Linked DNA regions of Sus scrofa. The protein of the gene in region 2 interacts with the protein of the main gene of each other region in a biochemical or structural test. Links are inferred from orthologs where the notes say so. Each region holds a gene or a part of one and is shown on either strand. Other genes may lie near its edges.

Region 1 (6,099 bases), on a different chromosome or scaffold from region 2:
CTAAAGAAGAGAAATGGTCTCACCTGCCAGAGCCTCGGTCCCACTGCACAGAGGGAAAGAGCCGGAATGGGAGCGGGGAGGGGAGGTCATCTGAGAGCTGGTAGCGCATCACCGTCAGCTGAGAGCAGAGAGCAACGGAGACGAGTTTGGTCTCCTCCCACTCGAACTGCCTCCCTTCCCCTCGGGAGATGGAACATGCTAGGCTGGCCCGATCCTGACCTCACCCTGAGGGGGCTGCAGGCGGAGGATTCGATGAGATTCAAACTCATCCAGATGCACTGAGCTGTGAAATGAGACCTCATCCACCCGAATTCCTGGCCCATAACCTGGAAAAAGAGAAAGACTCCTCTCCTAACCCATATTTTGAGGGAAAAGGGCAGGGAGGGGATCTGACTCTTAACTTGCCTCCATGAAACCTGTGGCAGTGACCACTGCCTTGGAAAGACCCTCACCTCTCAGTTCTGACTTCCCCACACAAAACTCTTCCGTCAAGCCAATGCGCATCTCTGTCAGAGAAAAGAACATCAGAAAAAGCCGCCAAAGAACACCACGCACATCACCAAGGAGCCAATCCCAAACGCCACCCTGGTCTAGCCTGCAGGCTGCTCACCGGAGCCGCTGGGCAGAAAGCTCTTGAGTCGGATCTCTCCCTGCACGTCCACCTTCAGCAGCGAGCCCTGAAAGCGCCAGGAAGGTTCATGTGCAGAAGGGACCTCCCCGACATGTCTCCCAAACGTCACCTGTCCTCAGCAGCAAGGCTGGGGGCCCACACTTACGTTAGAGGCTATCAGTACGGACAGTCTCTCGACCACGTCCAAGAACACTTCGTTCTTTTGGCTCTGAGGAAGAGAGGGGGATTTGGTGGGTGGCGATTGACTGGCTATTATTCTAACACAGACAGGCAAAAAAGGACAGGTCACTAGAGGCTGGAGCTCTGGGATGGGGACACAGGAAAGGGAAGGGACGAGATCACCTATGTCTAGAGGAGATGGAAAGACAAGCTGGGCTCCGGGACTCTGATCTGCACCCGTCAACCCCACCCTTACCTGGTCAGAGCGGCTGGACAGGACAGGGCGGCTGGCTGCACTGCTGGGGGCCACTTTGCTCTGTTGTGTCTCGGCCCCAAACTGGAAAGCACCCAAAGCAATCAATCCTCAGGTCCGACACTCCCCACCAACCCTCATCCATGCTGGCCTCCTCTGTCCCTTGACTGACCAAGCCAACACTGCTGAGGTCAAAGAGGCTGAAGGGCTTGCTGACCACGGCCTCCGTCTGGATGAAGTTCCTCAGCATCTCCATGGATGTGGTCTGTACGTAGCCATAGTCCTGCGGGCAGAGGAAGGACATTTTTTGGGTGGTCAGTGGGGCGAAGGGGTGAAAATGAGTGGACTTGGTCTCCCAACCACGGGATGTATCTTCAGAGAATAGGGGACAGGGAAGGACGTTCTCAGACCTCACCAGCACTTCATCCAGGAGTTCGTAGACCAGAGCCACGTTGCGGGAGATGGTCCCCTCGCCCAGGGAGCCACAGTAATCTCCCAGGAGAGTGGCTAGCCTGCAGAAACACAATGGAGTGTGCATATCGGCCTCCTCTCCCACCCCCACGCCCATGTGCCCAGCCCTGTCCTCCTCACCGGGAGAGCAGCTCTAGGAGGCTGAAGGGAGAAATGTTCTCTGAAGTCGTGGCCACCAAATAGAGGCCGTTGTGTCTGATGTGAATAAAATGACGGTCATCGTGGTGCTGAGGTAGAGGCAGGGGGAAAAGCATTAGGAAACGAGAGTTGTAATGATTCCTGGCCTGTGAGACAGGCTAGTATCCGGATTCCCCTACTTACTAGCAACGTGATTTGGGGCCACATATGAAACCTCCCTAGAGCCCAGCTTCCTATTGTGTAAATGGTATTAATAACAGTACCAACTAACTGAGTAGCTGAGGACAGAGATGTGTAAGGAACTGTGCCTGGAACACGGTTGCTGCTCAATAAACTGCCATTAACATTTGGACTACTGCACTTCCCAAGTAGAAGCTCTCAGGGAAAGAGCCCTGGGAAGATCCCCGCACTGCCCTCCCCACCCCAGCCCCCGCCGCCTCGGAGCGCTGAGCGCATCCCTTCCACCACCACCCCCCACCCCCGCCAGTGGTTACCATGACAACAGGAGACTCGTCTCCGGGCAGTCCCGTCAGCTTCCGGTAGAAGAGCTCTGCCACATCCCGGCCGCCGCTGTCTCCGCGGACTGACGGGATAGAAGAACAGCTAAGGAGCCAGCGACACTGGCTAGCTCGGAGGCACCAGTCCCACCCAGCCCCAACCCCGCCCCGCAAGCCAAGGATACAGTCCTTGTAGATGAGCGGGTCCCCCTTGGAGGACAGAATGAAGAACTGGGAAATCATGGCCGTTCTGGAGGGTAGACCAGGAGGCAGCGAAAAGTTGGGCCTGCCCCGCCCTGCGGCCCCGGAACAAAAGGACGGGAATGGGCTGGCCCTTTAAGAGGGCTTCTCCTCCGACCGCGGGAAACCTGGCGCCTGCCCCGCCTCGCTCAGCCTTTCCCTCTCAGTACCCGCGCCATTTCCCCGTCAGTCACCCCAGGTTCTCCCGGTGATTGGTTGACGCTGGGGCCTGTGGCGAGTGGGCGGGGCGGAGGACCTCCTCTCTGATTGGCCCGCACACAGCGGCGCTGGTCACATGGGGGGCGACGTTTCGCGCCAATTTCGGTTGGTCGGCTGCGGACCACGGCGCAGACGGTTTTTGCTGCCCAGGCAGTGAGAGGTCTGAGCCCGCCAACTGCTGCCGCGCAGCCCTGGGCAGCAATGGCACTTAAGGACTACGCTCTCGAGAAAGGTGAGGGTCTGCAAGCGTGGGAGGGGCGTCCTGCGCGGAAAGGTTCCTGACCAACACCTGTTGGTGGTGGGTTGGGTTCCTGAGGGGCCTGGCCCGGAGCGCAAGGTCAACGGTAGGGTCGGGAAGCGTCGGGGCTGAGGCCTACGGTAACTGGGAGGCGTACGAGGCGCCAGGGTCGGGGAAGAGCTGGTAACCGGGTCCGGGAAAGGAGTGGGTATCGTGGGGTGGGGGGCGGACACCCCGGCTGGAGGCTCCAGAAGGAACGGTCGCGCCTTAGACCAAGGCTTCCAGGGGCCGTAAGGTTCAGGGTCTGGCACCCGCGGGCCCGCTTCCTTCCACGGTCTTAGGCACTCAAGAGTAGCCGCGTCCTCCCGCGACGCGCCGAAGCCCCGGGGGCGGGCAGGCCTGAGCCGCTGCGCGCCGGGATTGGTCGCGTCAGGCTAACCTCCAAGCGGAAGTGAAGGCGAGCGGAAGTTGCGCGACACCGCTGGAGGGTGTCGTGTGTAAACAGTGTCCTTCCGCGCGGTGGCCGCGGAGAGAACTACTGAGGATGGGGGCGTGCCTGGGATGGGGGAGTTTAGAGGAAGACCGAGGGAAGAAGTGGTGGGGTGGGACGGAGTGGCCCTCGAGGAGCTGGCCAATCGCTGGACGGTCTCCCGCCCTGAGCGGAGGAATCCCGGGCTGTGAGGCGGCGGCATCATCTGGGCCCATGTGCTTCTTTGTTTACTAAGAGCGGAAGCAGTGGCGGGAGAGGGGGTGGGGCGGAGGACGGGCCTGGTGGCGGAGGTCCCGGTGAGAGCGGCGATTTAGGAGACAGAAAGAAAAGGGGAAGCGTTCGCGCGGAAGAAAAGCTGAGAGTCTTGAGATCTGGGTGTGTTGCCAGGTGTGGGAGGCCCTTGGAAAAGGGTTCCGAGATTTCTAACTAAGGCTGAGAGTGGAATTCCCTTGGGGGGTGGGTGTTGGGTAATATTCGCAACTGCCAGGGGTCCCTCTGCTCCCCCAGATAAAAACGGACTTGGAAAAGGAGTTTGTAGGTTTGTTTAAATAAATCTTCATTTATCTAATTAGTTCAGAGATCTCATTTTAAGTGAAAGTGAATCAGAGGAGTTTGGAGTAAGGTATCTGAAGAAAGATTGATCGTCACGATTTTACACTTTCCTTGTAGAAAAAGTGAAGAAGTTTCTACAGGAGTTTTACCAAGATGACGAACTTGGCAAGAAGCAGTTCAAGTATGGGAACCAGTTGGTAAGTCTAAGGTTAGGTAGAAGAAATGGGATGGTGGCTTAAGGAGCTACTAAGAAGTGGCCTGACTTGTTTTAGCAAGGCTGTTTTTCTCTTTAAGTGACAAGTTTAGCATCATACCTGTTAACAGTACTATATTCACAATAATTAAGGTATTTTTAGGAGTTAACTGAGAGGTGAGTATTTTTTCTGTCTCACAGTGCTCTTTCTGTCCTTTGGAGGCTTGGTAACTTGTGTGTTGAGCCACAGTGATGGGTTCTTGCCTGTGAACTTGGCTCTGTTGCCGTCTCCCCCCACCCCCAGGTTCGATTGGCTCATCGGGAGCAAGTGGCAATGTACATAGACCTAGACGACGTCACTGAGGATGATCCTGAGTTGGTGGACTCCATTTGTGAGAACACCAAGCGCTATGCCAGGCTCTTCGCTGATGCTGTGCAAGAGCTGCTGCCTCAGTACAAGGAGAGGGAGGTGAGGAAAATGCAGGGCAAGAAACTTAGGTTTCTGTTGAGAAGCTACTCGGGTATTTTCTTCTATTGCTGTTGTTAGGCCCTGACACAGCATGTGGAAGTTCCCATGCCAGGCATCCAACCTGAGCCACAGCAGCAGCAACGCTGAATCCTTAACCCATTGTGCCACAAGAGAACTCAGGTATTTTCTGAGCTGGCAAAAAGGGTGGTGATTGCTGCCTGGAGCCTTTTATGCTGTCTCCTTTCCCTATCTTACCACTTAGTTTTCTTATTTTCCTATCCTTTCAGGTGGTAAATAAAGATGTCCTGGATGTTTACATTGAGCACCGGCTGATGATGGAGCAGCGCAGCCGGGACCCAGGGGCAGCCCGGAGTCCCCAAAACCAGTACCCTCCTGAACTGATGCGCAGATTGTGAGTGGGCTCAGGGGGAAGTATGTGGGGGTTTGATCCCCAGCACCTTGCTCATCACTTTCTTCCCCCTTTAGCGAGCTGTATTTTCAAGGCCCGAGCAGTAGCAAACCTCGTGTGATCCGTGAAGTACGGGCTGACTCTGTGGGGAAATTGGTAACTGTGCGTGGAATTGTCACTCGCGTTTCTGAAGTCAAACCCAGAATGGTGGTGGCCACTTACACTTGTGACCAGTGTGGGGCAGAGACCTACCAGCCGGTATGTATAGAGCAAAGAATGGGAATGTGTTTACTTTTGTCAGCGGTTTTTGTATGAATTAATTTGTTTTGTGATGATTATATGTTGTCATTACTGGTCTGTTAATTGTAAAACACACCTGTGTGTTTTCATTCTTTTTCCAGCATGGGATGGCCTTTCCATCCATTCTGTGTTCTTGGTGTACTCAGCAATCCCATGTTTTCTATCACAGAGAAGAAACGTCATTTAGGTGACTAACTCTAAGGAGCCCTTTTTTTTCTCATTTCCTCTGGTGCTTTGTTTTTTGTATCCTAGATCCAGTCTCCCACTTTCATGCCTCTGATCATGTGCCCAAGCCAGGAGTGCCAGACCAACCGCTCAGGAGGGCGACTGTATCTTCAGACACGTGGCTCCAAATTCATCAAATTCCAGGAGATGAAGATGCAAGAACATGTGAGTTTGGGGGATGTGGTCTGGGGCTCAGGGAAGGGGGAGCTTGGGAGTCCGTTTGATTCTTGTAGTCGTTCAGAAGCATAAGAAAGAAAGTAGAACAAAAGGGGAGAGTCGAGGCAGAGAAGTCAGTGAGAGCAGGACGGGGTTTAACTGGAACTTTCTGAGTTGGGAAGAGTTTTAAAAAAAAGCCTAGTTTTCCTCTTGTCAGCTTGCTTGAGGCTAAGCAGACCAAGAAGTGGCCATAGTGTGTATAAGGAGAGAAAGGCAGGCCTCATGGACCCTTCTTCCCCAGAGTGACCAAGTGCCCGTGGGAAACATCCCTCGCAGCATCACAGTGCTGGTGGAAGGAGAGAACACGAGGATCGCCCAGCCTGGGGATCATGTCAGTGTCACCGGTATCTTCTTGCCGATCCTGCGCACCGGGTTCCGACAGGTGGTCCAGGTGAGAAA
Region 2 (4,129 bases):
CCATGCTAGAAACCAAGGTCTTAAAGTCTTGAGATTTCAAAAGTCTATTTGAATTACAGTCTGATGGGGGGGGAGGGAAGCTAATACATTTACCACAGTGCTTCATTGCTAAACTCCTGAATGCCCTTTTAAAATAAGAAACAGTAAAGACAGTTCACATCAGTTCCACATACCAAGTGCCAAGCACCACGCTAAACGCTTTCAATCTTGTCTCACTGCATCTTCACGACACCCCAACCACACAGGCATGCTCAGATCCCTATCAGGACAACTGAAGTGTGGAGAGAAGCCCCTTGGACAAGGTTACCCAGCTGGTTAGTGGCAAAACAAATATCTAAATCTGGGTCTCCTGGCTCCAGAACCAACACTCAACTCCACGGTCAGGCCCTCAGATACCACACTACTGGTTTATCCTCAAAGATAAGGAATTAGTGGCCCAGAGAAGGGAGGTCATAATTCCAAGGTCACACAACAAATTGGTGGCAGAAGTAGCATTGGAATGCCTCTCCTGACGCCCCACAAAGACCCAACAGTTTGCTCTTTGCACTGCAAAGAGCCTGAGGCCTAGAAAAGGAAGAGATTTCTATTTATATCTGCCCTCTTCACCTGAAACTACCCTTTCAAAGGGTCACCTCAAACTTCAGTTCAGTTTGGATCCATAATCATTCCTGGATGCCTTGGGCTGGGCTGGTCCCTAGAGGAAAGGTCAACATGGCAACAGGAGCTCAGTCTCCATACATGAAGAATTGAATGGGGCTGGTATTCCCCTGACACCTCCTAAAAATACCTTTACCCTCACCTGGAACAATGAAGCTGGGGAGTATTTTATGTGACCTTAGAAAGTTCCCCTCCTCTCCAAGATTCAGTTTGTCCATTTGCAAAATGGATCTCTATATGAACTCTTAAGTTCCTTCCTCCTTTTGAGTGTACAATTTCTGGATTGACCTGTTGCCCTATCCTTTGCTAAAGTTTTGAGGGCAAAACTGGCGCTCCCTCCCTGGCTCTCCCTTTTCACCCTTTTAGATGCCTTTGGTTGGCTGCACGGAAGTTTGTCCTTCTATGGGGAAGAAGTGACTTCTCTGGACACTCTCTAGTGGCCTGAAAATTGAGGTTCAAATCCCAGCTCTGCCACTTACCAGCTATGTGATCCTGGGAAAACCATTTGACTTTTCTGAGTCTCAGTTTCTTCACCGGCTAAATGAGGATTATGCTTCCTATCTTTTAGTACTTGTAGCCAGGTTAGAGTAGATTGTGAGCCTAGAGTACTGGGCACAGCACTTGACACACAGTGGTAGCCAAGTCACCCCTCACCTAGGCCAAAGGGTCTGGAAGCACCAGGAACAGAGCCAATATCAGGGTAAGAGAAATGTGCACACCCAGGGCTAACTCTTTCCCAAGGCTAACACCCTTTCCCAAGTCAGATAACACTGCTTTGGCTGGGAGCTAGGAGCCTTAGAAGTAAGTGGTTTGGAATGGTGAACCCAGCAGCTGGAGTGTGCAGGGTTTTTTAGCACTATGGTTAGTTACTTGGGATGTCTTTCCTGGCCTCCATTTTTCCTCTCATCTAACAGCAATAATTAACCAGGCACCTACTATGTGTTGGCAGGGTGGGTACTTTGGACTCTTTTTTTTTTCTTTTTAGGGCCACACCTGAGGCATATGTAAGTTCCCAGGCTAGGCTAGGGATCCAATCCCAGCTGCAGCTGCAGTACTAGGGGCTGAGAGCCAGTCTCAATCATGTGCAAGGTGCAAATGGTCAGATCAGGAAACTCAAACCCAGCTTTTAGGACTCTTCACCTAGGTACACAGCCTCAGGTTTCTAGGTCCTTTTTTTCTCTCTATCTGGGAGCTCAGTCCAGCTGGTGCCTCCATGTAGTTTGCAATCCTCCTCACCGGCCATGCTTCCTACTCCAGGCCTTACTAGCCCTCCCTCCCACTTTGGTTGTATCTTGAAGACTCCCCCATCCATGGCCTAGCAGCCCCCCAGGCCTCAAACCCCTTTCTCCATCCTTTGCTCTCCTGGGGCTCCTCTTATCCCTGATGGCCGTGCAACCCCTGAGAGGCAACCAGTCTTAGATCTCTTCGCCTCCGCACGGAACTCCCCACCCACGTGTCCTCGGTGGGCCCCTCAACGCCCTCCACATATCTGCCTTCTAACTAAGACTTCCGATTCTCAAAACCCTCTCCGACCTTGATGCTCCTTGTTTCCTGGGTTCCCTCTGTCCTCTCGGACGCCCTTACCCCCAAGACCGAAGTCCTCCAACTCCACGTCCTCGGTACGCCGCCAGCCCCTGCGACCCCGGCGCCCTCATCTGTCCCACAGACACCACAACCAGCGCCCTCGGTGCCCCGGCGCCCACCTTTGATGCTGATACCCAGCCCGCCGGCATCGGCCTTGTGCACCGTCACGAAGCGCGTCTGGGGCAGTTGCGCCTCAGGCAGCTGCGGGGACGCGGCGCCTGGTTCGGTGGCACCGTTGAGCTGCGCGGGCACCGGCTCCCGCTGGGCGACGGGTTCCGGGCCGGGTTCGCCGTCGGCGGGGCTCACGGTCAGCGTGTCCTCAGCTAGACTGAGCAGCACCCGCTGCCACCGCTCTCCGCCGGCCCCCGAGCCCGCTCCGGCGCGCAGTTCCAGCAGCCCTGTGCGCGGGGCGCGCCTGCCTGACGCCATCTTCGCCTCCGAGCCCCCAGGCCGCCGCGTTCGCCCTGTCCCGCAGTGCCCGGCAGGCTCTGACCCAGCGCCCAGGGCAGAGGGCAGCGGGGGCCCCACTGGGCCTGCCGCCACCCTCCACCTGGGGGTGGAGCCTAGGGGCGGGGCTATGTGTGGGTGTGGCTAACGGCGGGGGCGTGGCCACAGACAAGCTTCAGGAGAGACAGGGAGGGCGGGGTCCAGGAGCCGAAGGATGTAGTGTGGGACTTCATGGGGGTGGGGTCATAAGGGCGTCTGGGCGGGACCACGAGTTACAGCGAGAAGCTTCTGAAACGGGGGCGGTGGGGCAATTAGGGGCGTGGCTTCATCCTGTGGAAGAGACTTCGCTGGGCGTGGCAGTCCGGGGCCAGGACCGTCGCTCACCTACGTGACAGCACAGGAAAAAGAACCATGGACACTGCTGCGAGACTTTGGTTGTTGAGGTGGGACTGCATATGGCGGAGAGCCGGACTCCAGAGACAGGGCTTGAGTTTAAGTAGTAGACACCAAGCCGCGAGGGACTTCGCAGGCTGGCAGCTAAAGAAGGTTTGAGGGAGCCTGTTTCCCAGGGTGGGGCCAGAGCTAATATCTGTGGGCGTGGCTTAGTGTGGGGCGTGGTGACTAACGCTAACAGGCCCCTCCCACTGGGATGAGCACGTTGCAGGCTGTTTAGGGTTTGGGGAAAGAGTGGGTACTGCCCTCACTTGGAAATTGGAAAGGTGTTTGAGATTAAGCCCTTGTTCTTGGAGTTCACGTCGTGGCTCAGTGGTTTCCGAATCCGACTAGGAACCATGAGGTTGTGGGTTCCATCCCTGGCCTCGCTCAGTGGGTGAGCTGTGGTGTAGGTCGCAGACATGGCTTGGATCTGGCGTTGCTGTGGCTGCGGTGTAGGCCGGCAGCTACAGCTCCGATTTGACCCCTAGCCTGGGAACCTCCATATGCCGCGGGTGCGGCCCTAAAAAGACCAAAAAAAAAAAAAAAAAAAAGACAAAATAAAACTAAAGATTAAGCCGTTGTTCTGTTCACAGTCAAATACGGAGAAGCCTTAAGTCCCACACTGAGAGACCTGGAGGGAGAAGAACCCCTGTGAGGAAAGAGGGCTGGAAGGTGGGGCTCTCTGGGTCTGGGTCTCTGGAGACCTGGCTTACAATACTGCTCAGACACTGTGTTAGCCCCATATCGACCCTGGTCCAGGTACTTTCAGTTCTCTAGGCCTCAATTTCCTCATCTGTGAGATGGGGGTCATAATAACCCCTGCCTCACAGGGGACTGTGTCAGGATTAAATCAATGGGGAAAAGTAAACTGTGAATCTTATGCAATCAATATAATCACCTTTATTTATTGAATGCCTACATTGAATGCTTACTATTGGCCAGGCCCAGATCTAAGCATCTGCATGTATCTTCTTGACTTTACAGTAACCTCATGGAGTAGCTACAG

The links.
Region 1: the proteins of SNTA1 (region 2) and MCM7 interact in a test that uses a peptide from one of them, tested with the Homo sapiens proteins (2 studies listed by BioGRID and IntAct). The link is inferred for Sus scrofa from reciprocal best matches to the Homo sapiens genes SNTA1 and MCM7.

The regions. Positions count from the first base shown.
Region 1 is NC_010445.4:8,010,132-8,016,230, reverse strand, and holds the start of MCM7 (DNA replication licensing factor MCM7), read left to right. Parts: upstream 1-2,235; 5' UTR 2,236-2,334; coding exon of another isoform or gene 2,335-2,392; 5' UTR 2,393-2,809; coding exon 2,810-2,840; intron 2,841-3,351; exon of another isoform or gene 3,352-3,723; intron 3,724-4,005; coding exon 4,006-4,085; intron 4,086-4,385; coding exon 4,386-4,550; intron 4,551-4,837; coding exon 4,838-4,962; intron 4,963-5,036; coding exon 5,037-5,217; intron 5,218-5,511; coding exon 5,512-5,649; intron 5,650-5,941; coding exon 5,942-6,091; intron 6,092-6,099. Other genes in the region: AP4M1 (AP-4 complex subunit mu-1), read right to left, coding at 24-118, 220-326, 453-506, 611-677, 777-839, 1,047-1,127, 1,216-1,555, 1,635-1,741 and 2 more. UniProt on the Homo sapiens protein: Acts as a component of the MCM2-7 complex (MCM complex) which is the replicative helicase essential for 'once per cell cycle' DNA replication initiation and elongation in eukaryotic cells.
Region 2 is NC_010459.5:36,943,433-36,947,561, forward strand, and holds the start of SNTA1 (alpha-1-syntrophin), read right to left. Parts: upstream 2,801-4,129; 5' UTR 2,671-2,800; coding exon 2,361-2,670; intron 1-2,360. UniProt on the Homo sapiens protein: Adapter protein that binds to and probably organizes the subcellular localization of a variety of membrane proteins. May link various receptors to the actin cytoskeleton and the extracellular matrix via the dystrophin glycoprotein complex.